2 linked regions of the Tamandua tetradactyla genome follow. The protein of the gene in region 1 purifies or fractionates together with the protein of each later gene. This does not show direct contact. Links are inferred from orthologs where the notes say so. Each region holds a gene or a part of one and is shown on either strand. Other genes may lie near its edges.

Evidence for each region.
Region 2: the proteins of KATNIP (region 1) and CILK1 purify together in Homo sapiens (affinity purification with mass spectrometry; 3 studies listed by BioGRID and IntAct, with this or other methods). This does not show direct contact. The link is inferred for Tamandua tetradactyla from reciprocal best matches to the Homo sapiens genes KATNIP and CILK1.

What each region holds. Positions count from the first base shown.
Region 1 is NC_135349.1:25,960,868-25,976,603, forward strand, and holds the start of KATNIP (katanin-interacting protein), read right to left. Parts: upstream 7,324-15,736; 5' UTR 7,243-7,323; coding exon 7,135-7,242; intron 2,895-7,134; exon of another isoform or gene 2,768-2,894; coding exon of another isoform or gene 2,743-2,767; intron 831-2,742; exon of another isoform or gene 746-830; coding exon of another isoform or gene 733-745; intron 1-732. UniProt on the Homo sapiens protein: May influence the stability of microtubules (MT), possibly through interaction with the MT-severing katanin complex.
Region 2 is NC_135331.1:111,600,239-111,616,305, reverse strand, and holds the start of CILK1 (serine/threonine-protein kinase ICK), read left to right. Parts: upstream 1-7,780; 5' UTR 7,781-7,785; coding exon 7,786-7,886; intron 7,887-16,067.

The sequences.
Region 1 (15,736 bases):
CTCATTTTAGTCTCACAACAACTCAGGAAAGGAGGTAGAAGAAAGTGACATTAATATCAACATATACTGCTTGCAAAATTGGGCGGGGTGGGGGGGGGGTGCATTCCTCTGCATTTTGCAAGGTGACCTGCCTGCTTCAGCTACAGAGCAATAAATAAGACCAAATGTAAATGATATGTGTACACCGCACTTTACAAAACAGATGTGTGCCTGGGGAAAAGAAAAAAGCAGAAGTGACGGAACTGAATTTTTGAAACTATAATACTATTCTCCCACTTATGCTATCAGAGAGGTTTTATCTGCATTTAGGATTTATTTCCAATGGTGTAAAGATTCTGACATTTCAATTTTACTTTGCTCTAGATGCAACTAATAATATTCATCACTACCATTTAGAGGGGAGTCGCGTCTTCCTTGAATGTTAGTTTCTACAGTCATCAGGCAGGGGAGAATCAGAGTCCAAATTACCTTTGCATAGGAGACTTAACCCATAAAGAAGACCACAGGACACAGCTTTAGTAAACCCCTTGCTGTAGCTTAATATGCATGTATAATTCGGCACATATGGAAATGTATAGTACATGATAAAAAATACATATGCCAAATACAATTTTATGGTATTTCTAATTAAACTATTCATACTGTAATTACTCTCTCTATTTCACCCCTTGGGATGAGAGCAGGAGCCAGGCACTGAGCTCATGACAGTTAAATGCTTGAATGATGCACCACCTCTGTGCTGCATAACTTCTCTGCACCAGGTTCTATGCACAGGTATCCTCTCCTGCAGCCTCACAACCAGTCTTTTGGATTAGGGCTCAGCAAACGATCTGGAAAAGGCCAGATAGTACATATTTTTGACTTAGTGGAACATGACATCATAAGGCCATAAAATCTGTGGTGCAACTACTCACTCCACCATTGTAGAGTGAAAGCAGCCAAAGACAATATATAAGCAAATGGGCATGGTTGTGTTTCAATAAAACTTTATTTTAAAAAAAAAAAGAAGGCAACAAGGCCAGATGCGGCCCATGGATTATGGTCTGCCAACTCTGTCTTTAGATGGATATCACTCTTGGCATTGGCACAAGATGATGGAAAAATGGGAAACAGACCGAGTGACTGAGCTTCTTCCTCAGGGTCACAAAAAAAATGTGGCTTCTAAGCAGTAGAGCTTGGTGTGCTCCTATTTGCCATTGTCTCTCTCATCATCATCACTATCATCATCACCATGACCATCATTATCACATCATCATTTATCATCATCACCATCAGCATGCAAGACTCCAGGGTAAGTCCTTTACATGCATCGATTCATTTACTCTTGACAGCTGCCCACCATGAAATAGGAACTATTATTATCCCACTTGTCAGATAAGGAGACTGAGACCCAAAGAGTTAGGAAACTTGCCCAAAAGCACGGAACTAATGAGGGGGAGCTTTGGTTTGAATCTAGGCAGTCCAGTGCCAAAGCTAGTGCCACTCAGTCAGGTCATGGAAGATTAGTACAGGAACACCAGAATGTTCTGGGGAGGGAGTTTAAGGAACTATTTCTGTGACCCAGCTTTTGAATATTCTTTGGACTCCTGGAGCAATTAATAAAGGGATTGGAAGAAAATGATTCCCCAAGAGACAAAGAAGATTCCTCAACATATCCAGATGGCTTACAGAGATGATCATCTAGAATAGGGTGAGAGGCGTAAAATGCCAAATGCAGAGAGGCAGGCTTGGCTGGAGTCACCCACTCCTGTCCACTCAGGTAAAATGCTCGGTCTTGGCAGGAACAGTCAGACTTTGGAGAAGAATGGTGACTCAGTTGGAACCTTGCAGTAAGAGGGCCTGTGCAGGGACCAAGGAATTTTGAACAAAGAACTTCTTTCCCCCCAGTAGGGTGACAATGCTTCTATTAGGCTACTGAAAGAGGGGCAACTTATTTCTTCTGTGTTCCAACTGTGAAGGCTCACCTTGCTTTCATTTTATATACCTATGTAATTTCATTTCAATGACAAGCATCCCCTGGAGATGCCATTTTTTCTTATTTAACATGATTGGCAAAAATTTTGCAGTTTGATAATACACAGCTGGCAAGACCTGGCAAACAGCCCCTATTGAGCATTGCTGTGAGGAGTGCAAAATGGTGCAGCTCCTTTGGAGGGTATTTTGATCACATCCTTCAAAGTACAAATGCATTTTCCTCTGCGCTAACAATACCACTTCCAGGAATCTACTGTAAAGATACATGTCTACAAACAGGAAACAAATGTATGCAAAAGGCATTTATTGTATCACAATTTGTAACAGCAAATATTTAGAAACAGCCCAAAGTCCATCAGTAGGGGGCTGGCCAAATAAACATGGCACATCCACACAACGAAGTGGGATACCTTGAAGCTGGAAAAAAAAAAGATGGAGAACCTTCTTATATGCTGCTCCCTGTATGTCCTTATAATATGGCCATAGATTAAATGGGAGAAAAAAAAGTGAAGGGGTAGGAAATGTATGTAGTAGGCAAAGCTTTCTCTAAGGAGGAGGGAAAACAAGAATACATACTTGTATAGGTCTATTTTGCTTAAAAAACCCCTGGGAGAAAGATTTCTCAATGTGTACTTTTTATATCATTTTTATTTTTGAGCAATCATTTAGTTCTATTTCCTATTAAAAAAAAAAAACTAAACTGAACTTAAAAGATAAAATGTCCAAAAGGCTGACTCCAATTAAAAAAGAAAAAAAAATAGAATATACCATGAAATGCTACCACCTTTCTCATCTGAGGTCCAAGAGAGGGCGGTTTGTCAGAGGCAGATGGAGTAGCGTGAACCTCGGGACCCCAAAGCTTGACAGAAAGAGGACACGATATTTTCAGAAGACAAACTGCCTCCTTTTAAGAGATCAATCTGTAATGGGTGAAAGATAAGAATGAAATGATGACAGAATATGGTTTCTGGAAATTGAAACAAGGCTATTGTTGACCTGCTCATTTATTTGAGGGCAGAGTTTTTTATGAAATGGCTAGACACAATGAGAAAGGAAAAAGGACCAGAAAGTGAAACTGTGAGCTGTCTGGATGGGCTGTCTGGAAATGGTGGTTCTGCATGCAGGTGGATTCCACCCGTGCTTACAGAAGTACCCAGCACCATCAGGCTCTTCCCCAGGAGAGAGCTCTTGGAATTTCTAGCCATGGGGAATGAGAAGGAGCTCAGAGAACCCCTGTGGCTTGCCCAAGGTCACTGAGCAAGGACGAGGAAGAGCTTGGGTTAGAAACCAGTCAGTCTGGCTGGATGTCTCATACTCAGGATGCTCACGGCACCTGTGGCCTGCCACCTGTCTTCCAGCCCAGGCCTGGGGAGTGCCCCCAGCAGCACTGTCATTAGCCCAACCCCTTTCCAACCTTGATTCAGGCTTCTACCTGCAGGGTTTGCACTGGAGCAGTGTGCACTGGAGCCAGGCTGATACTGTGGCAAAAGAAGGCGGCAGGTGGAGTTGAGGGCAGCCTGGAGAGCAAATGGCCTGGTCCAAAGGGAGACCCACTGTTCTGCTCCTGCTGGAATGGAGGCCCAGTTTGATAGGATTTCGTTTTTCCAGAGAAGTTTCAAGTTCAGGTTTGTGAGAAACCTAACATTCTAATGTTGGCAAGTAATTTTTAAAAATTTGAAGCTCGATACAAGCCTGAAAAACAGGTCTCTGGTTTCCTTGTTACCTTAATGGGTAAAAATACAGAACCTGCCACACCTCCCTTTATTTCTCTTTTCCTTTTTAAGGAAACCCTGTCAACTAACTGAAATCTATTAGACAAAGAATGTGGCTGTTGGGAGGCTACATAAATGCCGGCTCTGAGACGCATCCTCTCCTTCACCTTCAAATTCTCCCCCTCCATGGGCCTCCAGCGTGGTTCTGGGCCTTTCAGTCACATTCCATCTTCCACAAGCCTGAAACAATATCCCTGTCACTTTTCCTTTGCATTTTCTGTGTAACGTGAATTCCCGGGACCCGTCTTACTGCCAAATTACCTGAGATAAACAAGTCATGCTAAGATCCTCTTTTCCTTTCCAAACCCAAACAGCAGCTGGCAGCTAGAAATGGTTATTTATAACCACACATTGTTTCATATATTTGCTTGGTTTAGAAGCACTTAGACATATTTTTTGGGCGGCTTCATAATCAGATGAGCGCCTGGGGACCATGTGGGCAGTGGCTACGAGGGTAGGCTCTGGGTCAGCCTGTCTGGCTCCACTTGTCACCTGTTTGGGAATCTTAATCGTCCCCATTCCATTTAAGTTTATTGTCAGGGTTAAGACGGTACATGTAAAACACTTCTCGGTGCCCAGCACATACAGGTACTTGGCAGTTATTAGTTTCTTTACCCAGAAACTGTTATTCATGGATTCCAGCAAGTTCTGTTGAATTCTGCCTCCCAGATATACCCTGCATCCATGGGCGCCTTGGCACCATCCCTCTCCAAGCCTTCCTGATCTCTCATTGAACTTCAATATCCACCAGGTAGGTGTCCCTGTCTCCACTAGGGCCTGGCTTTTCCCACGGTGGCCATCTCTAAATACGGCCATATCTCATGCCTTCTTGACCCTCCAAAATTTCCCTCTGTGTGAAGAGAAGAATCCAAAATCCTTTCCCTGGCTGACCCCATGTGGGCTCCCGGACCTCACTCTTTTCTTTCTTCCCCTCCCTCACACTCACACCCTCAGAGCTGCACTGGCCTATCTTCTGCTTCTTGGATGTACAATTCCTTCCTGCCTCAGGGCCTTTGCCCTCACTGATCCCTTCTTGGAGGACTCTTACCTTCAGTCTCCTACAGGCTGGCTCCTTCTGACACATGGGCTCTCAACTGGAAGAGCCCTACTTCCTCAGAGGGGACCCGCCCCCATTTCTTCCTCCTTGGATCCTCTGCCCAGAGCTTATCTGAGCTTTCCCTTATGATTTGTGTGTTTGTGGTCTGTCTCCCCAGCTGAATCTCTGCTTTTCCACCACTGAACTCTCCACATCTGGAACAGTGGCTGGAAAGGAGTAGGGACCCGTCGACATGAACAGAATCGATGAATGAGTAAATGACCACATTTCTGAATGGACAATGTAGGAAGGGACAGGCGGTGTAATTATGAACTGCAGTAAAGACTTCATCTTCACTTGTAATGTGCCTTCCCGGCCCTTTCCCCTCACTATTTCTGGGATGGTGAAATGAAATATGACAAAGTAAGTTTAATACCCCAATGGAGATAATTGGAAAATATTGATTTTTTTCCCCATTTGGACTGTAAAGATAAGAAAATGCCACACTTATGTAATCTAATCAGTAGCTTATGTGACAGCACATTTCCCAGGCTGAAATGGACTTTGTTCTACCTCTCTATCCATCATATGAAGCTCCAAAATCCATTCCCACTTCACACCCTGATCTAATCCCATCCTCCCCATTGAATACAAGTATGGACAATCAATTTGTGAAACTATGTGTGTCTATGTGTATGTATCCAAATTAAAGAACTTTTGGAGTATCTACTCCCCCACCCCCAACCCCCCCCAAATCTGCCAAATTGCGCTGGGGAACACAGGAAATGGTGCATGAGATCCCCCAGAACCATAAGGAAAAATGCATCCCTTTCTCTGACAGCTAACTTTTACTAGAGCTTACCAAGTGCCATGTATCATTCTAAGAATTTTGAGTGGATGCATTAATTTGATCCTCATAGCAGTTCTACAGGAAGGTCCTATTATTATCTCCATTTTATAATTTAGGAGTCAAGGGCGGTACAACAGTGGCTTAGTGGCAGAATTCTCATCTGCCATGCCGGAGACCTGGGTTTGATTCCTGAAGGCTGCCCAAGCCAAAAAATAAAAAAGAAGTTTGAGTACTGAGAAATAAAATGTAATACCCCCAAGGTTACATGGCTGGTAGGAGGGGGAGCCAGAGTTCCAACCTCCTTAGTCTGATGCAATAAGCTCTGCTCTTCTGCAACTCTCCAGAATAAGAAGGCTTGGGATCCTGAGCAACAACACGAAAAGAGGGAAAGAAGAAGAGTTTAACCCTTTGCTCTGGTTTTCATGGTTTCCTTCTGCAGGCTTAAATGAAATCTCCATCACAAAGCAGAAGCTTCCACCCTGTGGGCTCTTTAGGAGGAAGGTTTTGCTGGTCTCACAACAGACCTGGGCCTTGTTCTCCTTACTCATGGGAGAATTAAGTGTCAGCGGGCACTTAATTCCCCTGTGCCTAAGCCTCAGAATCCGATAGATGACGGCGATCAGACCAGATCCAAAGTCTAGCTCACTGGCTGAAGCCAGCCTGCAGATGTTTGTCTGATCCCCCTAAGGTTTAAACAGAATGTTTTTTTCAGCCAACCTTTACAGCTTGGGTGAGCTGACATTTAAAAATCCTGATTTCTGGTTTCTTTTGAAAAACGAAAAGACCTGGCAACACAGGGCCTGTGTTCCTGCCTGGGTGCTGAGGGGCAGCGCCCTGATGGATGGCCCAGCATCTGCCAGTTCCCCACCTCTACCTCTCCCACTCTCTCCCAGCCATTGAGGCTAAGTCCCAGATGCCATTTATCGTCTTGCCTGAACAGTTTTCTTTACAGTAAAGATGAAAGTGAAAGTTCACATCTCCCGGCAAAAGTGAGATCATCATCACTGGAATCACCAGAGCACTAACGATTATACATGCAATTAGTGTGCGCCAGGTCCTGACGGAAGGATGGTGCCTCGAATCACTCATTTAATTCACCCAACAACCCTAGGAGGCCACACAATTATTATCCCATTTTATACATGGTGGAGAGAGGGAAGAGGCTGCATGCTTCAAGAAATTAGTAGACAACAGATTTCTTTATGAAAATGAAGACTATTCCGGGGTGTCAAATGAGCAAAATCTATTTGGGTGCTGAAAGAACCTAACATAAAGCAGCATAATTAAATAAACCCTGCCCACTGTCTCATTTACATTACCTGCCTGGCCCCTGCACTGGATCCTCAACATCTTCAGATATCCCAAGGTTCTACAAATGCGACCCTGGACTAGACTGGTTAAGTGCCCTCCTCCCCCAAGCTCTAACATCCTGTGATTTTAGGTGGGTTCATAAAATGCATCTCTAATAGTTTAAGACTCTGGAAAGGAAACACAACACATACCTGAAAACACAAACCTGCACAGGCAAGCACATATAATGTAGCACAAGTTTGCTTAGAGTTCTGAAGTGTGTGGTCCCTGTGGGGGTTCTGTAGCTGCTGAGCTGACATGCATGGCACCTTCCCTCCCTGCCGGCTGCCTCACCACATGGGCCTTTATGACCCACAAAGGACACGTGAAGACAGGGGCTGTCTCCAGAGAATCCATCAGCTATGGGAGGTCAAGGTAGCAGCAGGCTCCAAAGTGAGGTGGGAGGTGGGAGTAAAAGTGACTTCATTGGGAAAGGAAATGGAGGGAGGATGGGAAAAGTAGGTGGAGTGTGGTGGTATGGAGCTGTAAGTACTATAGAAAAATATGTTCTGAAAATTAAACCATTCCTGTGGATGTGAATTCATTATAAGTAGGACATTTTGATGAAGTTACTTCAATTAAGGTGTGGCCCACCTCAATCAGGATAGGTCCTAAGTCTATTACTGGAATCTTTAAAAGAGGGATGAAATTCAGACAAAACGAGAAAGCCACAGAGGGAACTTTCAATTTCAAAAGCTGAACATCAGTAGAACCTGGAAGAGAAGATGCTGCCATGTGCCTTGCCATGTGACAAGCTAAGAAACAAGGATCACCAGCAGCCAGTCCCAGAATTCAGGAACTCCTGAATTCTGTATTCTCCTGTATTCAGGGAGAAAATATCACTTTGATGATGCCATGATTTGGTCTCTGTCCTAGGCTCAAAACAAAGAGCAAATGAATTCCCGTAGTTTATGCTAGCCATTTTATAGTATTTGCTCGAGCAGCCTAGGAGACTAAAGAGGAAGAAAAGAATGAAAACAGAGGCTAAGGGGTATAGTAAAAAGTGACTAGGATTGGAAATATTACTCCAAGTGGGCTTAATCTAAAGGACACTGTCTGGAGGGACCATACCCCTCCACTAAACCAGCAAAGGCCTCTGAGAACTGGGCCTGGAGGTTTGGCTTTGGATACAAGGGCCTTTACTCTGTCTGCCAGCAATGCACCGAGGGAAAAGTTGGTTAATCTCTTTCCTGGTTACACTCCTGGGCCTTTTTCTGTGCTAGTCTTGGTGCCAAGTGTTGAACACACAAAGGAACAAGAGTAGGTTTCTGCTCTCAAAGAAGGAAAAGGCATGGAGCCCAATGACTCTGATGCAATGCTGCATAAAAAGCTGTGGGATCCCACCAGGCAGGAGGAGCTCATTCTGCAGGTGGTGCCAGCTGCTGTGATCTACAGCAGGAGGTGTCATGAGAGAATGGTGAAGTTGGCAAGGAGCACGGTCAGGGCCAAGGCTGTGCCTAAGAGATGGCTAGCGTTATGAGGTAACTTGGGCAGGCATTGAAATCTCAAGTGCCTCCAGGGCTAGGCCAGTGGTATCAACGCAAGAAGTGGGCACCTGGTGACTGGTACCACCAACCAAACTGTCAGCATGTATCCAGGGTCAAGGGAGTGGGCACTAGCAGGGCCAAAGCATCCTGTTCTTCAAGAAAAACTGAGCAGTCCAGGTTTTATGTTAAATCTCTATTTTTAAATATAAGAAAACTCTCCTATGGCCCCAGTTCAGTCCAGTATAAAACCTCTGGGCATGACTGTGGGTTGGTGACCGTGTAAAGATGAGGCTGGAGATCAGCAGAACAGCCAAGTGGGGGATGCGAAGGGGAAATGCTTCTCCAGGGGAATTCTCCAATTAAAGATGATATGTCTATAGGGCAACTGTGAAGGCCACAAGGTCAGGCTGTTCAAAAATCCCATGGGCACCAGTAGGCAGGCCAATGCGATTAAGAACAACTGGCAATTGCTTCATCTTATTTAAAGTGCTCTGCAAACAGCTTTGAGATTTTCTTTCCTGCCACATCGCTGCTCCTGAGCCCTTTCCTACTTGGAGACAGAGGAGCAGCCACAGGGTCAAACCCCAAGGGAGTTGAGAAGGCAGTAGAGGGCAGGGCCTTTAAAACAGCATTTGCCGGTTTGAAAGGATGTATGTACCATAGAAAAGCCATGTTTTAATCTTAATTCCATTTAGTGAAGGCAGTTGTTTCTTCTAATTCCTATTCAGTACTGTGTGTTTGAAACTTTAATTAGATTATCTTCCTGGAGATGTGACTCAATCAAGAGTGGTTCTTAAATTGGATTAGGTGGAGACATGTCTCCACCCATTCTAGGTGGATCTTGATTACTTTACTGGAATCCTATAAAAGGGAGATTCTAAGAGAGCAGAGAATGACATAGCCATGAGAAGCAGAGTCCACCAGCCAGTGACCTTTGGAGATGAAGAAGGAAAACACTTCCCAGGGAGCTTCATGAAACAGGAAGCCAGGAGAGAAAACTAGCAGATGACCCCATGTTTGCCACATGGCTTTCCAGATGAAAATAGTCAAAACTTGACTGTGTTTGCTATGTGCCTTCTCACTTGAGAGAGAAACCCTGAACTTCATCAGCCTTCTTGAACCAAGGTATCTTTTCCTGGACAATTTAGATTGGATATTACTATAGACTTGTTTTAATTGGAACATTTTCTAGGTCTTAGAACTATAAACTTGCAACTTATTAAATTCCATTTTTTAAAAAGCCATTCAGTTTCTGCTATATTGCATTCTGGCAGCTAGCAAACTAGAACAGATTTTGGTACTGAGAGCGGGGTGCTGCTGTGGTTTGCAAATACCAAACATGTTGGAATGGCTTTTTAAATGGATGGGGGGAGGATTCTGGAAGAGTTATAAAGAGCTTGATAAAGAAGACCTAGAATGCTTTGAAGAGACTGTTTGTAGAAATGTGGACTCTTTAGAGTCTTCTGATAAAGTCTTAGACAGAAATAAGGCACATATTATTATAGACTGGGAGGAAAGCAATCCTTGTTTTAAAATGGCAGATAATCTGGCAAACTTGACTAGTGGCTTTGGCTGGAAGGCAGATTTTAAAAACCATGAACTTGGATATTTAGCCAAAGAGATCTCCAAATAAAATGTGGAAAGTGCAACTTGGTTCCTCCTCACAGCTTACAGTGACATGCAACAAGAGAGAGAGAAGCTGAGAACTGAACTCTTGAGTACAAAGAAACCAGAAATTGATGTTCTGGAAAATTCTGGGCTTCTAGAAAGGGAGACCCCAGAGAATAGTGCCCCATGTGAGGGGTTGGCCAAATGTGAAACCAGTCAGCCATTTCAGAGAGAGCCAGGATTGGACATGGAGTTATCCAGGAAGGGTTTGTGGAAACTCCTTATGTCTGACGGGCATGATCCAAGGCTACTGCATAGAAAGCCAATGAGAGCGTTGTGGGATCTGTATAAAGAGAACCACTGCTAGTCGGGACTGAGAATGACAGAGAAGGGACACACTGGAGGAAAAATAACTTCAGAGGCAAAGCCAAGGAGGCTGGGGTCTGAAATCAGGAAGCCTTGGGCCAGGAGAGTGGATGCACCCAAGTAGGTGGAGAGGGTGAGTTTACCCCAAAGGCAGAGGGTGGGCCTTCCACCTGGTTGCAGTGGGATGCCTCAGGCCTTGGAGAGGGTGAAGCATGTTCCTTGGGGTTTGGGGAGAGCCTGGCTGCCACTAAAGGGAGGGGTTGAACATGTGTCCTGGAGATGGCAGAGAGCCCAGGTGTAGACCCCGATCCTTGGAGAAGGTGGAGCTGGGAAAAAGGTGGTCTCCTCAATGTCCCCCAAAGTTGCATTCAGAGAGAGGCAGGCCTCTGCGAAGGCCTTTGGAAAGGGTGGGACTGTTGCTTTCTAAAACCTTGAAGATAAATGACTCTCAGACTTTGAAATCTAATGGACTTTGCCCTGCAGGTTTTCGAAAAATATATGGGTCCAGTGACCCCTGTGTTCCTTCCAATTCCTCCCTATGGAAATGGGTATAGGTATCCTATGACTGTTCCTCCTTTGTATGTTGGCAGCAAATAACTTGTCTTGAATCAAGGTCCAGAGCCAGAGGAGAATTTCTCTTTAAGACAGACTATGCCTGTAACTAACTTTGATAGGAGTTTGCACTGTTTCTAACTTTGTATTTCATTTGTATTGCTACTGAAATGGTTTAAGGATTTCTGATATTATGATGGAATTAATGTATTTTGTATATGGGGAAAACATGTCTTTTTTTTTAGGGTCCAGAGGGTATAATGTGCCAGTTGAAAGGAGGTATGTACCCTAGAAAAGCCATGTTTTAATCCTAATCCCATTTTAGTAAAGGCAGCCATTTCTTCTAATCCCTATTCAGTACTGTGTGTTTGAAACTTTAATTAGATCATCTTCCTGGAGATGTGACTCAATCAAGAGTGGTTCTTAAGCTGGATTAGGTGGAAACGTGTCTCCACCCATTCTAGGTGGATCTTGATCAATTTACTAGAATCCTATAAAAGGGAGCTTCTAAGAGAGCAGAGAATGACATAGCCATGAGAAGCAGAGTCCACCAACCAGTGACCTTTGGAGATGAAGAAGGAAAATGCCTCCCAGGGAGCTTCATGAAACAGGAAGCCAGGAGAGAAAGGTAGCAGATGATGCCCTGTTTGCCACCTGCCTTTCCAGATGAAAACAGTCTAAACCTGACTGTGTTTGCCATGTGCCTTCTCACTTGAGAGAGAAACCCTGAACTTCATCAGCCTTCTTGAACCAAGGTATCTTTCCCTGGACACCTTAGATTGGATATTTCTATAGACTTGTTTTAATTGGGACATTTTCTTGGCCTTAGAACTGTTAACTTGCAACTTATTAAATTCCCCTTTTTTAAAAGCCATTCAGTTTCTGCTATATTGCATTCTGGCAGCTAGCAAACTAGAACACAGTGTTTATTTCTTAGCCAACATAGTGGGCAGGCTTTGCCCCAGACCCTTTCCCCAGATGTGAGAACCTGGTCAAATACTGGCAGGGGGATGGTGAAACAAGCTTTTGATGACATTCTATGGATGCTTCATCCTGTTGACTCCTGGCTTTGCTACCTACTCACTGTGAGCCATAAAATGGGCACAATTATATAATTGTTGTATTGGGCCACCTCGAGAATGAAATGAGATTCACCATGGCAGGGGATCAGCAAACCGTTCCTGAAAAGGGCCAGCTGGTCAATCGTTTTTGACTCGGCAGGCCATATGGTCTCAGTTGCTGTAGCATGAAAGCAGTCATTATGACACAGATACAAATGGGCAAGGCTGGGTTCTAGTAAAACTTTATTTACAAAAGCTGGCAGTGGGCCAGAGTGCTTCAGGAAAAGTGAAGAAGTGTACAAATGTTATTTTCTAGAGACTTCTGTGTTGGATTTTATATCTATTTATATGACTAGCTCTCCTACCAGACTATGAACACTGTAAGGACGAATAACATATCTCCTTTTCAGATGTAAGCTAAAAGAACAAGTTTGGCATGGTCTAATGCACAATCGAGTTCATAGGGATTTTCACAACTGTCCAAGTTTAATAACAGAGCAGGGTTGTAACTTCAAACACCTATCGGGCTGAGGCAGGCAAGATGCCTACTGAGGGAACCTGGCCAGGTAGGGGCTAGGCCAATTGGAAAGCACACCTCCCTTCTAAGGGAGCAGTTACCATGCAGCTCCAGCCTCAAGGGAATTGTTGCCATGCAGAATTCTGATATGGCATTGACAGACTTTTCTTACTATTATCAAGAGAACCATAATCAGATATATTTGAGAAATCTCCCAAATTTTCCACTTTGGCAATTAACTCCAGAAATTGAAAAAGAATACATTATGGGTCAAATAAGCATGCTTGTGGGTAGCATTCAGCCTGGATGCTACCAATTTGCTACCTCTGATACAAAGAATTCATTTCAAAATCAACTACCTCTCTATTAACTAAGATCTAGAAAATTTTAACTTATATTTGGGGAAAAAATTAGCCCTACAGAAAAGATTAAAGAATATTACAAGGAGCTTCCATATATATTCTTCACCTGAATGTAGTCTTATTCATCCTGTTATCTCCAGATCCCAGCACACAGAAGCCACTGAAATATTGTCAAATCAATAAATGAACACCATAAGGAAAAATAAGCGAAGCAAAGATTGTCAAGTTCCTATAATCTAAAGTGACAGGTGGAATGAATGCGGAAGAAATAGAGAGAAGAAGAGTGACCTGGACAGAAGGATGTGTGCCAAAAAGAAAGGATAACAGAACAAACGCAGAGCCCATATGGCACAAACATTTATTTTGCCTGCTGAATGCTTGCTTTGTTTCATTTTATTTTATTGTTATTATTATTTTTTTTGCTTGGTACATTTTAAGCAGTGAGAGAAACAGACAAATCACCAGAAGCCCAGGTAAACACCACACAAGGACAGAAGGGACAAGACAAGCTGACAGTGTACTTTCAGCAAAACCTCACTAATTCAACCATCATCCGTTTTGCAGTTTGGGATTATTTGGACAAGTGAGGCTAAATTTCATCTTGGTGTTATTAATTCTTTGAGAAAGTTTGCTAAGCAAATGAACAGTATAAACAGGGGAAATGTTGAATGTTTGCTCTGGAGGGGGAGCAGAAGCAAATGAACAGCTTTGAAATCCTTTCTAATTACACCGCTCTGTTGAACTTTTGTCTAATTATTATGTTCCTAGAAAACTGAGTAGAAAAATTTTTTTCCTCTAAACCACCTCATATTTTGAAAGCACTAGGGGAAATCTGACTTTAACACAAAGACAACGTTTTTATAGACAGAAGATTCATAGTTTGCCAATTTATCTTAGTGTAAATAAAAAGTGTCAAACATTCAGTTTTCTTTGAAACAAAGACTAAACTAATTGCGAAGGCTATTATTAGTTAGAGAGCGCAACATATCCTCCCTCCCTCTTCTGCTGGTAGTGTAGAATTTTGCCCAGTTGCAGATAATGATAGCATATAGGAGTTACCATGTAACAGCGTATTTTATATGCCGCAATTGATGTTATGTGTTTCCATATCTTGACTCACCAAATGCATAAACCAGGGTAGAGTTCATCATCATCCCCATTTTGCTGACAGAAAAACTGTGGCTCAGAGAGTTCAAAATACACAGCTGAGATTCAAACCCCAGGCTATATGATCCAGCAAACCTATGAGCATTATGCCGTGCTGCACTGTAGAATCAGATAGGACCTGCTCAAAACCAAAGGGCCAGGGAAAATGCTGTGAAAAGCTATGGTGATTTGAACATGCAGAATAAACCAAACCACAATATGGTTTGGAGATACTTGCTAGATATTTAGGCTTTTGTGAGTTTAGGGAGTAAATATCTTTCTAATAAGGCTGAATTTGGTTTATCTGATTGTCTAGAATCATAATTCATCAAGGTATCCTTCACTTTACCCAGTGGATATGTGCCTAAAAACTTGTGTGTAAATCAAACTTTTAAAACTTGGGATGGAAAATGGGATTCTTTGAACGTTAAATCCAAACTTAGGGCAAATACTTTCTTAAAGAAAATCCATTATTCCTTTTGGTAACTAAGTCTGCCATTGGGCCATAGTAATGTTCTTTGGATTGATGGGATATTAATAGTTGGAAGTGAAAGCAGACTTTTTGAAAAATGGCTCATAGTAACATTTCTCAAAGTCTATTCCATGAATCCTGGGGGAGGTCCCTAAGATCTTATCAGATGATCTGTGAGGGTTAAATTATTTCACAACAATTTTAAGATGTTATTTGCCTTTATTACCGTGTTGATATTTACACTGATGACACAAAAGCAATGGCAGGTAAAACATGAATGAATCAAGGCAGTGACACTATTAGATATAAGTATATTCTTTACCGCCACATGCTTGCAGGAAAGCAAACAAAAAATTGCTTTTTCTTAATGTCCCTGTGAAGCAGCAAAAATTAATTTCATTAAATCTCTATCCATGAGTACACAGCTTTTTAATATTCTGTGTGATGAAATGTGAAGCATGCACAAAGCACTTCTGCTATAAATCAAAGTATGATGGTTGCCACTAGAAAAAAACTCGTTTGAGTTTTTAAGTATACACACTTTTTAAGTATACACATTCTATTGTGTAATGAAATGAGTTAAGATTTAGAAGATCTGCATAACTCAGCAAATCACCATTTTCCAAATGGCCAATGCCAAATGTTACAAAACCATACACATGTAAAAGCTCCAATCAAAGGGCAAGAGAGACCAATAGATTTTAAAGTAACAGAATATAAAAGTTCATTGATATGGTTTCAGATGCCACATTGTGGTATTCAGGTGTCATTAAGAAATTATCACTCGCTAAATTTTGATGTGGTATCAAAGAAGAATATCTCTAGTTATCTAAAAAGGCAATTCAAATATTCCTCCCTGTCCCAACTACATATTTGTATAAGGTCGTATTTTTTTTATATACCTTAGACAAAATAATATAACACAACAGTTTGGATGCAGAGGCAGATATAGGGACCTAGCTGTCTTCTCTTAAACCAACAGTGCTACTTTTCTCACTAAATTATTTTCTTGTTTTGGAAAATACAGATATTTTTCACTTAAATATTATTTCTGATTGTATGTGATGGGTTTATTATCATGATTTTTAAATGAATTGATAAATGAAAGTGTTAAGATTTTCTCAGTTTAAATTTCTAATGTAATAAATATAATAGATAAAACCCACACAAGCAGAGTTCTTTT
Region 2 (16,067 bases), on another chromosome or scaffold:
TAGCCACTCGTCTGTTGATGGACATTTTGGCTGTTTCCATCTCTTTGCAATTGTAAATAATGCTGCTATAAACACTGGTGTGCAAATGTCCGTTTGTGTCTTTGCCCTTAAGTCCTTTGAGTAGATACCTAGCAATGGTATTGCTGGGTCGTATGGCAATTCTATATTCAGTTTTTTGAGGAACCGCCAAACTGCCTTTCACAGTGGTTGCACCATTTGACATTCCCACCAGCAGTGGATAAGTGTGCCTCTTTCTCCGCATCCTCTCCAGCACTTGTCATTTTTTGTTTTGTTGATAATGGCCATTCTGGTGGGTGTGAGATGATATCTCATTGTGGTTTTGATTTGCATTTCTCTAATGGCCAGGGACATTGAGCATCTCTTCATGTGCCTTTTGGCCATTTGTATTTCCTCTTCTGAGAGGTGTCTGTTCAAGTCTTTTTCCCATTTTGTAATTGGGTTGGCTGTCTTTTTGTTGTTGAGTTGAACAATCTCTTTATAAATTCTGGATACTAGACCTTTATCTGATATGTCATTTCCAAATATTGTCTCCCATTGTGTAGGCTGTCTTTCTACTTTCTTGATGAAGTTCTTTGATGCACGAAAGTGTTTAATTTTGAGGAGCTCCCATTTATTTCTTTCTTTCTTCAGTGCTCTTGCTTTAGGTTTAAGGTCCATAAAACCGCCTCCAATTGTAAGATTCATAAGATATCTCCCTACATTTTCCTCTAACTGTTTTATGGTCTTAGACCTAATGTTTAGATCTTTGATCCATTTTGAGTTAACTTTTGTATAGGGTGTGAGATACAGGTCCTCTTTCATTCTTTTGCATATGGATATCCAGTTCTCTAGGCACCATTTATTGAAGAGACTGTTCTGTCCCAGGTGAGTTGGCTTGACTGCTTTATCACAGATCAAATGTCCATAGATGAGAGGGTCTATATCTGAGCACTCTATTCGATTCCATTGGTCAATATATCTATCTTTATGCCAGTACCATGCTGTTTTGACCACTGTGGCTTCATAATATGCCTTAAAGTCTGGCAGCGTGAGACCTCCAGCTTCGTTTTTTTTCCTCAAGATACTTTTAGCAATTCGGGGCACCCTGCCCTTCCAGATAAATTTACTTATTGGTTTTTCTATTTCTGAAAAATAAGTTGTTGGGATTTTGATTGGTATTGCATTGAATCTGTAAATCAATTTAGGTAGGATTGACATCTTAACTATATTTAGTCTTCCAATCCATGAACACGGTATGCCCTTCCATCTATTTAGGTCTTCTGTGATTTCTTTTAACAGTTTTTTGTAGTTTTCTTTGTATAGGTCTTTTGTCTCTTTTGTTAAATTTATTCCTAAGTATTTTATTCTTTTAGTTGCAATTGTGAATGGAATTCGTTTCTTGATTCCCCCTCAGCTTGTTCATTGCTAGTGTATAGAAACACTACAGATTTTTGAATGTTAATCTTGTAACCTGCCACTTTGCTGTACTCATTTATTAGCTCTAGTAGTTTTGTTGTGGATTTTTCTGGGTTTTCGATGTATAGTATCATATCGTCTGCAGATCATTTTTTTTTGAACATTTATATCTCTTCAGCAAAACGAATAAAAAAGAAAAAAGAAAAAACTCATATATACCACACCCCTTACTCCTCCCTCTCATTGGCCACTAGTATTTCAATCTACTCAATTTAACATTTGTTCTCCCTTTTATTTGTTTATTTTTATCCATATTTTTTTACCCATCTGTCCATATTGTAGATAAAAGGAGCATCAAACACGAGGTTTTCACAATCATACATCACACTGTAAAAGCTGTAACATTATACATTCATCTTCAAGAAATATGGCTACTGGAACACAGCTCTACAGTTTCAGGTACTCACCTCTAGCCACTCTAATGCACCATAAACTAAAAAGGGGATATCTGTATAATATATAAGAATAACCTCCAGGAATACCTCTCAACTCTGTTTGAAATCTGTCAGCCACTGACACTTTATTTTGTCTCATTTCTCTCCTCCCCCTTTTGGTTGAGAAGGTTTTCTCAATCCCTTGATGTTGAGTCCCAGCTCATCCCAGAATTTCTGTCCAGCATTGCCAGGGAGGTTTACACGCCTGGGAGTCATATCCCATGTAGAGGGAGGAGGGCAATGAGTTCACTTGCCATGTCAGCTTAGAGAGAGAGAGAGGCCACATCTGAGCAACAAAAGAGGTTCTCTGTGAGTGACTCTTAGGCCTAATTTTAAGTAGGCTTAGCCTATTCTTTGCAGGGATAAGTTTCATAGGGGCAAACCTCAAGATTGAGGGCTCTGCCTAGGGATTTGGTTGTCCCCACTGCCTACTAGAATATCAGGAATTCTCCAAATGGGTAAGTTAAATTTTTCCCCCTTTCTTCCCATTCCCCCAAGTGGACTTTACAAATACTTCTTTATTCACTCTTCAAATCACTCTGGGACCCTTACTTTAAGCATAGTGTACCCCTAAAGCCTTGCATAATGCTCACCTCAGTAAAGGTTGAATGAAATTACACACTGGTCAACCTGCCATCATTGCTTGAAGAGACATTTGGCTGATCCTTTGTATAATTGTTAAGTGATTACTCAGAATAACATAAGATACTAGAAGCAACTATTTGGTATGGTGGAAAGTCAAACCCTGCCAGAATAATTGAATTTTGTTCTGTGGTAATATGACAAACTGCATCAAGGAAGAATTGTTAGAGTGATTGTGTGTTGAATGAATGACCCAATTAATCTTGATTTCAATGAAACTTTTAATTCTTTCACAATAGCTTTCTCAGTAATAATCTAGGAAAGCATTGTCCCAGCTATACAATTCAGTGGGTGAGGAAGTAGTTAGGCATAAACTATCAAAGAAAGACTTTAGAATTAATAATTGATGGATATGAATCAGTAGTGCAATACCATTTTTTAAAAAATTAAGGGACAACATGCTACTGGAATATATTAAAGGACTGTCACATGAATTCCATATTCAAGTTTTAATCACCACAATTCATCAAGGAGATGGAGAAATGCCAAGGATGAATGCCAAAGATAATTAAAGGAGTGGAAAATAGGTCCTATGAGGAAACGTTGTGTAATTGAGATAGGAGAAGGCTGAACCACACACTTGATTACTACTTTCACATACATACATATTTTTATGAGATGGTTTCTTTACATCCACTAAGAATTAAGCACAAAGAAATTAGCTTAAATCAAAATAGTCAAGCTTTGGTTGTACTTGAAGAAAAATATTGTAAACCTGGATTACAAAATGGAAATCTGATCATGTTATTTCCCATATTTAAAAAACTTTAATTTTATTGCCTGTCCGTCAAAGCCTTCTTTTCCTCTTTCATCACCACCTCCTTCTCTTCCCCCTCCCCACCTCTTTCTTTTCCTTTTTTTTAAAATAAAGGATGTAATTTATGAGTATGTAATTGATAAGTCAAGGTTCCAGTGATTTTTCAGGAAGGTGACATGAACGGTGGTTTGAGAGTTGCAATTTGTTGGAGAATGAAATTATACATGCCGCATGAATCATTTATGCCATATCAAAACCAGATAAATATGAAGAAGAAAAAGAGAGGAAAACAAATCCAGAGCTGCTCATGCTGTGGCCAGAATGCTGTTTTTGTGCTATGTTGAGTCATAGCCTAAAGTGACAGCAATCCACAATACAATCATCATAAAGTGGGGGCATCCTATTGTATGAAGGTGTTCTAGTAAATAAATCTGCATTGCTATGTTTTAAGCCAAAAAGAGGATTTAAAAATATACCTATCTTTTTTTTTAAAATGACTCCCTTCCTTTAATATGTTAGATCCTTTTTTTTTGCATGAGCAGGCACCGGGAAATGAATCCTTCAACATTTTGAGGGGAATTTTCAAAATTTCATTTGGAAATAATTTCGAACTAATAGGAAAGTTAAAAGACTAGTTCAGAGTATGCCTATATACTCTTTTATTTTTCTTTTCTTTTTTTTTAATTTTTAAAATATTTTCATTGAGATATCTTCATGCACCATACAGTCCATCCAAAGTATACAATCAGTGGCTCACAATAGCATCACGTAGTTGTGTATTCATCACCATGATTATTTTTAGAACATTTGCATCACTCCAGAAAAAGGAATAAAAAGAAAAAAGAAAACCCCATACATCCTATACCCCTTACCTCTCCTTCTCACTGACCACTATTATTGCAATCTACCCAATTTTTTTTAACCCCTTATTCCATCACCCATTATTTATTTATTTATTTTGGCTCACCTGTCCATACCCTGGATAAAGGGAGTGTCAGACACAAGGTTTTCAGAATTACATGGTCACACTGTAAAAGCTATATGCTTATACAGTTGTCTTCAGGAATCAAGGCTACTGGAATACAGTTCAACAGTTTCAGGTATTTCCTTTTAGCTATTCTATTACACTGAAAACCTAAAAGGGATACCTATATAATGTATAAGGAAATAACCTCCAGGATAACTTCTCAACTCTGAAATTTCTCAGCTACTGAAGCTTTATTTGGTCTTATTTCTCTCTCTCCCCTTTTGGTCAAGAAGACTTTCTCAATCCCATGATGCCAAGTCCTGGCTCATCCCAAGAGTCAGGTCACATGTTGCCAGGGAGATTTATACCCCTGGGAGTTATGGCCCACATAGTGGGAGAGGGTAGTGAGTTCACCTGCCAGGTTGGCTTGGAGAGAGAGGCCATATCTGAGCAACAAAAGAGGTTCTTTGGGGGTGACTCTTAGACATAATTATAAGTAGGCTTTTCTTCTTCTTTGCAGGAATGTTTCATAGGCTGAGCCCCAAGATTGAGCCCCAGGTGAGGAAGTTTAATATTTCCTCCTTTTTCCCGAATCCCTAAAGGGAATTTTACAAATATTTTTTATTGTCTGCCAAAATTACTCTGGGGTGTATAGGGCATCACACTAACCTGTGCAAACCAACAAGATCTCACTCCTATTCAAGATTCCATGTAATTATGATATTCAAATAAACTAATCATACAAATTAAATTAGATCGTATGCTACCAAAAATGTAAATTTTGTACCAAATAAACATCTCTTCCTTTGATCTCAGACAACAAAGTATACATATATACTCTTTATTTGGCTTCACTTGTTAATATTTTAGCCCGTTTGATTGTGCTTATTCACTCTCTTTCTCTTTATGAATCTTTAGGATCCAGTCAAAGTCTATGCTTTTAAAGAATGACACAAACAAAACTCTAGGACTACCTTTTTCCAGTTCCAAACTCCCCACGTTTAATGCTCAAATTCAAGCTGCAGTGCCTTTGTTTCTGCTGTTTGGAGTCCTAGACCCTTATTTACCTGACACACATCATTTTTTTTCCTTTCAATTCAGCTGGGGTCACCTCTTTTCACACTCTTCTTAGTGCCCTCCTGAGCCCAGGTGGAATCGATCTAAGAGGAAGCCAGAGAGCTTTCTTCTTAACCTCTCCCTACATTCTGTACCCTAAACATACCTGAAATATCTTATCACATATTCATGAGTCCATATCTTTAGGTTCTTTGAAAATAGGGTCTACATTTTATTAGTCTGTGTACCCCTAGATCTGAGCCTAGGGTCTGGTGTCCAGGGGCTACTTATAATATTTTTGAATCAACAATTGACTCTGTCACTGTAAAGAGTTGCTGAAGGAAGTTGCAGGGACTCTTACCCTGAAATGCTTTAAGAGGAAGGAAAACGCCCCCCACCCCGGGGCCTGAGATGGAGGAGGAGAGTGATCCCTAAAAGCTGAGCAATCTCTAAAAGCTCTTCTAGTTACATGGTAGAATGTGGTGAAATCAGGTGTTAAGTTTTCATTTTTCTCAAGGTTCAAGTTCATGTAAAGCCTTCTCAAGAACATAAATGGGTTAAAAAAAATTTTTTTTTTGCTTTTTATTCTGAACTAATTTTAGACTTCAGATAAGTTGCAAACATAGTAACAGAATTCTAGAAACTTTTCACCCAATGGTAACATCTTACATAACCCAAATGGTAACATCTTACATAACCATAGAACAATGATCAAAACTAGGAAATTAACATTGGTATAATACTATTAACTAAAGTCTAGACCATCTTCAAATTTCACCAATTTTCCTACTAATGCCCCTTTTCAGTTCCAGGATCCTACATTATATTTAGTTGTTATGTCTCCTTAGTCTTCTCCAGTTTGAGAATTCCTTGGTCTGTCCTTGTCTTTCATGACCTTGACAATTTTGAAGAGTTCTGGTCAATTTTTGTAGAGTATCTCTCATTTTGGGTTTCTCTGATGTTTTCTCATGATTTGATTGAAATTCTACATTTTTTGAAAGAATGCCAGAAAAGTGATGCTGGGCCCTTCTGTACATCCCTTCAGGAAGTCATGATATTGATATGTATTATTACTGGGAATACTGAAAGTGGTCACCTGGCTAAGGTGACTTCTGCTGGATTTCTCCCCTGTAAATTTATCTTCTTTCCCTTTGAAGTTAATAAATATCCTGGAGATAATTTGCGACTATGCAAATATCTCCTCAAACTTTTACCCACTAATTGTAGTATCCATCAAGCAACTTGTTATAGCAGTTACTGCTGTAGCATTTGCCTAATAGGAATTTTTATTTTTCTGTTTCTATGTTTATTGACTGGAATTCTTCTGCACAGAAAAGCTGTACAGAGTAGATTTAGATGCAGAATGTCACATGCTTCAAGCATTATTTCTGATTTTTTCATTCTTGGAATTATTAGACAGTAATAATTTTTAAAAACAAGTCCTTATTCTTAAGTATTTGCATTTTATTAACGTTTGCCTCCAGATATTACAGTCACTTTAAAAAGTTATTTCTACCTTGTCTTTTTAATAGGCAAGCTGAACAATTCTCTTAATTTATATATGAAACATCAGTGACTTATTACTAAAAACAAAACCAAAAACAACTGAGTTCAAAAGTCACACCTTACACATGGAAGTTGAATTGCTAGCTCATTGCTTAGCTTCTGATGTCCAGTAGTAAAAATAATGTTGATGCCTTGCCACAAATAGTTTATGGGGCACATATTAGTTCTTTATTAGAGGATCTTTAATTTTAGCTTTCCTTAGCTTTTGATGGTTTACATAGCTAATTGTTGCTAAATTGCACAGAATAAACTATATTTAGCATGAATTCTCTGAGCTCAGCAATTTTCTTTGAGCATAGTTATGAGGATTAGTCAGCAGAAAAGTATTGAATTGGAGCTGATTCATTTCTGTGTGTGACAAATGCACATTCCAACCATGGTATCTTTAATTTTATAAAAAAATACAAAAGAGCATTATTTAGACCAGGGATTTTTAAACTTTTTCTGTAGGGACCAGATAAATAATTTAGGCTTTGTGAGCCATCCAGTCTTTATCCCACCTACTCAAGTTTGTTGTTGTAGGGTGAAAGCAGCTATAGACAATATGCAAATGTGTGGCATGACTGTGTTCCAATAAGACTTTATAAAAACAGGCAGTGGGCTGGGTTTGGCCCATGGTAGTAGTTTGTTCACCCATGATTTAGACTATAAAAATACATGTAACCCACAACTCAAAATGTTCATTAACATTTATTTTTGTCATTTTTCTCTACAGGCAGAAGACTGATCTTTGAAAATATGTATTTGGGAGATCGTCACGTTGTACTGAATACCTTGTGCTGGTGCTGCCATCGAAAAATCTGGTTACACTCTGGGGAGGCCTGCTACCACTGCAGGACTGAACCGCCTCGGCCCTGAGATGAGTGTCCTGCCTGAGCGGGCACACCATGAATAGATACACAACAATCAAGCAGCTTGGGGATGGAACCTATGGTTCTGTCCTGCTGGGAAGGAGCATTGAGTCTGGGGAACTGATTGCTATTAAAAAGTAAGTTTTATCCATTGTGCTCATAAACTGATCCTGAACTACACAATGTCAGCATAATTTTAACTCTACTCTTTCTATTTCCTGTCTTTGAAAAATTTCTTAAGTAGAATGGTTGGGAGGCAGAAGACACTTAGATGCTGATTTCTGTAAGTTAGATGATTGTTGACTGGAAGGATGATGTTAGAGGTCTTAAAAACATTCCTGCTTTAGGTTGGCTACTTTGCATATAGCACTGTATACTGTTTTTTTTATTTTTTTGCACAGACAGGCACCAGGAATTGAACCTGGGTCTCCGGCGTGGCAGTCACGAACTCTGCCACTGAGGCACCATTGCCCTCCTAGCACTGTATACTTTTTCAAAGTGATTTTTCATCTTGTGAAGTTATAAAGGGCTGGGCAATGACCTCAATTTACGGGAGAGTAAACTGAGGCTCTGAGAACTTGAGTGGCTTACCCTGGGTCGTGCATACACGGTGGCGTGGTGACTGCTGACAGGTTCCCCTTGCCCCACTTGGCCTTTGCAATCCAGGTCCATACCTATTGTCTTAGTAATCATTGCTGTGTAACAGTGTAAGCTGAAAATTAGTGGCTTAAAACAACATGTTTATTATCTCATGTCTTTTGTGGGTCAGGAGTCTGGGCATGGCTAAGCTAGGTTCTTTGCTTCAGGATCTCTCACTAGGAGGCAACCAAGGTGTCTGCCAGGGCTGGGTCTCATCTGAGGGCTGGACTGAAGAGGGATCTGTTTCCATGCTCACTCACATGGTTATGCGCAGCATTCCGTTCCTCCCCATGTGGGCCTCTCCAAAGAGAGCTCAAACTTGGCTCCTTGCATCATCAAGACAAGTGATCCAAGAAGGCAGTGAAAGACTCTTCTAAGGAGAAGAAAGTCACAGTCTTCTGTAAACTGATCACAGAAGTAACATCCTTGCAACATTGCTATAGTTTTTGGCTTGAAACAAGTCATTGAAGGAAAAGGAATTATACAAGGCTATGACTACCAGGTGGGATCTCTGAGGCCATCTTAGAATCTGCCTGCCACATGCATTTATATTCAGTTGCCTTTTTAACATCTCCATTTGGATGGCCTGTGGACTCTTCCAACTCATCATACCCCAAACTAAACTCCTATTCAAAATATTCTCCTCTCTTGCTCCAGACCTGTTTTACCTTCAGTATTCCCTATCTCAATAAGTGGCACTACTGTCCCTCCTCCAGAACCTAACTTCTCTTCCCCTTGCGCCCTACCTGCAGTCGTCTAGTCCTATAGATTCTAATCACTAAACATTTTTCTGATCTACCTACTTCTCTGTATCCCTACTGCTACCTCCCATTCAACCCATTATCATTCACCACCTCAACCACTACATTAATTTTCTCTGTAGGATTCCTGGTTTCCATTCTTGCCCCTATTCATTTTAGTCTGAAGAGATTGTTTTAAACACACTCATATGATTGTCTGAAACCATTTGTGCCAAATGTTCTTTATGTCCCTCGTGCCCCATCATACCTCCTTGTCTCACCTGATTTCAGTGCAGCTGTGTGGTACAGTTCTATGCCTGCTGCCAGCATCCCACCACAAGTGTACATGGGAAACTCTCAACCAAGGTGCATTCTATACGGCTCCTTAAAAGGTGCTCAGTTTCCTAGCTTCCAATGAAATCCTTCATTGGTTTTCCTACCTATCCATTTCCATTTTCACTGTTCTTTGCCTTGGCTTCCAGGAATCACCTCCCAAATAAATTGCCTGCACCCAAGTCCATGCCTCAGGCTCTGCTTTTTTGGAGATCCCAAACTAAGACGGTATCCAATGTCTTTCTTTCAGTTTTAGGATCAAGTCCCAAAACTATAACATGATATACAAATTGCTGTATCACTTGGTCCTTGCCTATTTTCTTCAGCCTTATCTCCTTCCTTTCATTGTCCCCCTTGCTTACTTTGTACCAACCACACTGGCTTTGTAGCTTCTTATACGCACCAAATACCTTCCCTCCCAGATCCTTAATGTGTTGTTCTGACCTCCATGCTTCCTACCTGGCCAAGTTTTACTCATCCTTTATGTCTCCATTGAATTGTCACTTTCTTGGAGGAGCTTTCCCTAATGTCCCAGACTAGATTAAGTAGTTTTGAACTCTGCCTCTTATAGTGTTCTAGACCTTTCCTTTTTTGTACTTAGCATGGAAAATTAGTTCATTTCTGCCCTCCTGTAAAGATTCCAGCTCTCATCAGTATATCTCTAGTGCCTAGCAAAAGGGCCTACAACTACAAAGGACTAAATTATATTCTGAACATGAATAAATGAATTGGTCACTCAACTTGGAGGCAAAGTGAGCTCATGGACAGACAGTAGAGGTGGAAGTTTGTCTGTTATCAGCCAGCAGTGAGACCTTGGGAACGTTATGCAACTTCTCCTTATCTTAGTTTCCTCACTTTGTCCCATCTATCTCACAGGACTGTTTAAAGGCTCCAGTGAAATAATGTAGTTGAATTGTATTGAAATATAACTTCAAAATGTGGTTGACTGATATGGCTCTCTTTCTTTCTTATCAGGCTCTCGACCATGGGTTAGAAAACTTTCTGTAAGGGATAAGAGAGTAAATATTTTAGTTTTTGCAGGCCATATAGTCTCTTTTGTAACAGCTCAACTCTACTGTTTTAGCACAGAAGCAGTCACAGACAATATGTAAATGAATAAGCATGGGCTGCACGCCAATAAAACATCATTTATAGACACCGAAATTCTAATTTCATATAATTTTCACATGTCACAAAATATTATTCTTCTTTTGATTTTTTTTCCAGAATTTTTTAACCATTTAAAAGTTAGAAAAAATCATTCTTAGCTTATAGGCTATACAAAAACAAATGGCAGGAAGAAAAACCAAAAATAAAACAAATGGCAGGGTAAATTTGCCCCTGGACCATAGTTTGCAACCCCTTTTCCTGGAAGGTCTAGAACTGTACTGACGATAGCCGATAACTATGTGTCTATTTAAATTTAAATTTAATTTAATTTAATTAAAAATTCAGTTCCTAAGTTGCATCAGCCACATTCTAATTGCTCACTAGCCATATGTGGTTAGCAGCTATTGTACCAAAAAGTGTAGAACATTTCCATCATTACAGAAAGATCTATTAGGTAACTCTAATCTAATTAGAATAAACCTGATGGATTTTTCCTACAGGGCAAGGTTATCTCTATTATGTAGAATTCTTGTGCTTCATGAGATTTGGGAAGAATTGGTTTGATCTAGGATTTCTTAAGATGCCCCTGAATTCCAAGGATCCCTAGAGAGGCCCTTGAATCACTCTAGGCAGTGGGAGGTCCTGCTAGCTGGCAGAGTAGAAGAATTAGAGTCAATATCAAACTTGGGTTAGCTCATAGTTCACAAAAGACTTTGGGGAATCTGTAATCTACCTTCTTCCCAAAGTAACAAAAGGGGTTTGAAGGAAAGGTTGATTTTTCCCACATAGTCTATAGGCCCATCCTTCACCTCCCAATTTCTGCTTTGAAGACACTGCCCCTGGATGAGTTCACCTTAGATACCCATTCCTTAGCATTTCATGGGACAAGACCAAATTGTTGGAGGTGAAGCCTGCAATAACACTTGGCACATCTTTCTTTTATCTTTTTCCTCCCTTGCAACCCCTTCTTACTTCGATCTAGGTTTTTTTTTGTTTGTTTGTTTTTTTAACTTTTTTTATTAATTAAAAAAATTAACAAACAAAACATTAAGAGATCATTCCATTCTACATATACAATCGGTAATTCTTAATATCATCACATAGTTGCATATTCATCATTTCTTAGAACATTTGCATCAATTTAGAAAAAGAAATAAAATGATAACAGAGAAAAAAAGATTATACATACCATACCCCTTACCCCTCACTTTCATTTACCACTAGCATTTCAAACTAAATTTATTTTAACATTTGTTCCCCCTATTATTTATTTTTATTCCATATGTTCTACTCTTCTGTTGATATAGTAGATAAAAGGAGCATCAGACATAAGGTTTTCACATTCACAGAGTCTCATTGTAAAAGCTATATCATTGTTCAATCATCATCAAGAAACATGGCTACTGGAACGCAGCTCTACATTTTCAGGCCGTTCCCTCCAGCCTCTCCACTACATCTCGAACAACAAGGTGATATCTACTTAATGCATAAGAATAACCTCCAGGATAACCTCTCAACTCTGTTTGGAATCTCTCAGCCATTGACACTTAGTCTCATTTCACTCTTCCCCCTTTGGTCGAGAAGGTTCTCTCAATCCCCTGATGTTAATTCTCAGCTCATTCTAGGGTTTTTCTCAGTCCCTTGATGCTGAGTCTCAGCTCATTCCAGGATCTCTGTCGCATGTTGCCAGGAAGGTCCACACCCCTGGGAGTCATGTCCCACACAGAGAGGGAAAGGGTGGTGAGACTGCTCCTCGTGTTGGCTGGAGAGAGAGGCCACATCTGAGCAACAAAAGAGGCTCTCTTGGGGGTGACTCTTAGGCCTAAATTTTAAGTAGACTTGACCTATCCTTTGTGGGGTTAAGTTTCATGTGAACAAACCCCAAGCCTGTAGGCTCAGCCTATAACTTTGGTTGTCCACACTGCTTGTGAGAATATCAAGAATTCAACTTGGGGAAGTTGAATTTCTCCCCACTCTCACCATTCCCCGAAGGGGGCTTGCAAATACTTTTCCAGTCACTGATCAAATCACTCTGGGATTCATTGGGGCATCACTCTGGACAAACCAACAAAATCTCATGTGCTACCTGAGATTCCAAGTACTTATGACATTCAATCAAACTATCTACATGAGTTATATTAGGAAATGCTCTAGTCAAAATATAAATTTTGTAACAAATAAACATTTTTTGCTTTAGTCTCACATATAAGGTGACATTTTAAAGTATTAATTATCATCTATTTTCAACACCCTGCAATAATGACATTCCTGTGTTCTTCCTCAGGCAAAAACATTTCTTAAATTTGTACATTGTACATTTCACTATTATTATACACTCTAGGCATTCCTAGATTATACCATCTCAATCTTTACCATCTATCTTTCTTTCTGATTTCATTTATGTCCCCAGTCCTCCTCCCTCTATCATTCTCACATGCAGGTTCATTCAGTGTTTTAACATAATTACATTACTGTTTGGTAGTATTGTGCTGTCCATATCTGAGATTTTATATTCAGTCCTGTTGCACAATCTGTATCCCTTCAGCTCCAATCACCCAATATCTCACCCTATTTCTATCTCCTGATGGTCTCTGTTACCAAGGAAATATTCTAAGTTTATTCACTAACATCAGTTCATGTCAATGAGACCATACAGTATTTGTCCTTTTGTTTCTGGCTAATCACACTCAGCATAATGTCCTTAAGGTCCATTCATGTTGTTACATACTTCATAACTTTATTCTGTCTTACAGCTGCATAATATTGCATCTTATGTAAATGTCACAGTTTGTTTAGTCAGCTGTCTGTTGATGGACATTTTGGCTGTTTCCATCACTTGGTAATTGTTAATAATGCTGCTATAAACATGTAAATGTCCATTTGTGTCCTTGGCCTCATGACCTTTGAGTAGAGACAGCATATACTTGGGTCCTGTTTTTTAAACCATTCTGCCAGACTATGTCTTTTGATTGGAGAGTTTAATCCATTAACATTCAGTGTTATTACTGTATGGGTAGTACTTTCTTCTACTATTTTGCCTTCTGGATTTTATATGTCATATCTAATTTTCCTTCCTTTTACCTTTACTCATAGTCTTCCTTTCTACACTCTTCTCCACACCTCTCTCTTCTGTCTTCGTATCTGTCTCCAGTGTTCCCTTTAGTATTTCTTGCAGAGCTGGTCTCTTGGTCACAAATTCTCTCAGTGATTTTTTGTCTGAAAATGTTTTAATTTCTCCCTCATTTTTGAAGGACAATTTTGCTGGATATAGAATTCTTGGTTGGCAGTTTTTCTCTTTTAATAATTTAAATATATTATCCCACTGTCTTCTCGCCTCCATGGTTTCTGCTGAGAGATCTGCACATAGTCTTATTGGGCTTCCCTTGTATGTGATGGATTGCTTTTCTCTTGCTGCTTTCAAGATCCTCTCTTTCTCTTTGACCTTGGACATTCTGATTATTAAATGTCTTGGAGTATGTCTATTTGGATCTGTTCTCTTTGGGGTACGCTGCACTTCTTGGATCTGTAATTTTAAGTCTTTCATAAGAGTTGGGAAATTTTCAGTGATAATTTCCTCCATTAGTTTTTCTCCTCCTTTTCCATTCTCTTCTCCTTCTGGGACACCCACAACACGTATATTCATGCGGTTCATATTGTCTTTCAATTCCCTGAGTCCCTGCTCATATTTTTCCATTTTTTTTCCTATAGTTTCTGTTTCTTGTTGGATTTCAGATGTTCTGTCCTCCGGTTCATTAATCCTATGTTCTGCCTCTCGAAATCTACCATTGTAGGTTTCCATTGTTTTTTTCATCTCTTCTACTGTGTCTTTCATTCCCATAAGTTCTGTGATTTGTTTTTTCAGACTTTCAGTTTCTTCTTTTTGTTCCTTCCTTGCCTTTTTTATATCCTCCCTCAGTTCATTGATTTGGTTTTTGATGAGGTTTTCCATGTCTGTTTGTATATTCTGAATTAGTTGTTTCAGCTCCTGTATGTCATTTGAATTGTTGGTTTGTTCCTTTGATTGGGCCATATCTTCAATTTCCTTAGTGTGATTTGTTATTTTTTGCTGGTGTCTAGGCATTTAATTACTTTAATTAGTTTATTCTGGAGATTGCTTTCACTTCTTTTATCTAGGGTTTTCTTGCTGGATGAATTTGTTGTCTATCTGTTCTTTGACATTCTGTTCAGCTTTATCTGAACCTTTAGCTTAAGTTTTGTTTAACAGAGGAGAATTTTTCAGTTCTTGTTTTCTTGTTTTTTGCCCTGCTTGTGTGGTACCTTTCCCCCACACACACTTAGGAGGGTCTGCTTATATATTATAGACCCCAGCCAGATTTTCCCAGACCAAACTGGCCTCCTATCAGGAGGAAAGAGTCACCTGCATCGGTTTTCCCTGAGCATGAGACCCAGCAGGTTGAAAGACTTTCCTGTGAAGTCTCTGGACTCTGTTTTTCTTATCCTTCCCCGTATGTGGCGCTTGTCTGACTGCAGGTCCCACTAGCATAAGATGATGCGGTACCTTTAACTTTGGCTGGGGGTTTGTTGGAGACAGAGGAGAGGTTGTAGGCTGGTTTTAATGGCTTCAAATTACCAAGCACTGGTGTCTGAATTCATTGATGGAGGGATTCCACCTGGGTGGGCCTTCACCCCTCCCCTGGGGAAGGCACAGGCTCCAGATAAGCCCCCAAAAGAGCTCACTTCTGCCTGTGCCTGGGGCAGTTGCAGCCTGAGAAGTCCTGCCGCTGTATGCAGAGGCAGTCAAGCCTTTGTAGATACACAGCCACAAAAACCTGTTTCCTTCTTTTTTTTCCCCCTTTTTCTGTCAGTCCTGCCCCCTTGGTGCCGGGGCAAAAATGAGCAACCTCCGCTTTGATTGGGTTCACCTAAGCTAGGGGCCTATTTTTAGTAGTCAGAATTTGTTAATCAGTTCCACAATTGGCGTTTGATTGTGCCCAGTCACTGCTGCTGGTAAAGTCCTTTCCTTTCCCTTCTGGGAAGCAGCCTGTGGGGGAGGGGCACTGGCGACCGCAGCTTTGGGAACTCACGGTTTTGGGGGGTGCTCGCAGCCGGTCCAGCTGGTCCAGACTGGGGTACGCTGTGTGTCTGGTCACTGACGTGGCCCCAGGAGCTGTTCTGTACTGTTTCTGGTTATTTAGCAGTTGTTCTGGAGGACGAACTAAAACGCGCACGTTGTTAAGCCGCCATCTTGACCCAGAACCTCCGATCTAGGTTTTTTGACCCCAGGTCCAATATTTTAATTATTCGGAAGTGGGAAGTTCAATAAAAGCAGGACTAGAGAGAGAAGCCTTCAGTAGAGCTCTCAGATTTTCTCTCCCAATCAGAAAATTAGACTAACCATGCTTGTTTCTCCTCTTAAACCACTTAGGACTTTGACTTGGATATAAACCTCCCATTTTTTGTCTCTGCCTTTTCTATCAGTCTTAGGGCTCCTGGAAAACCTACATGGGACTCACCCTCCAGCTCCTGGCACAGTGG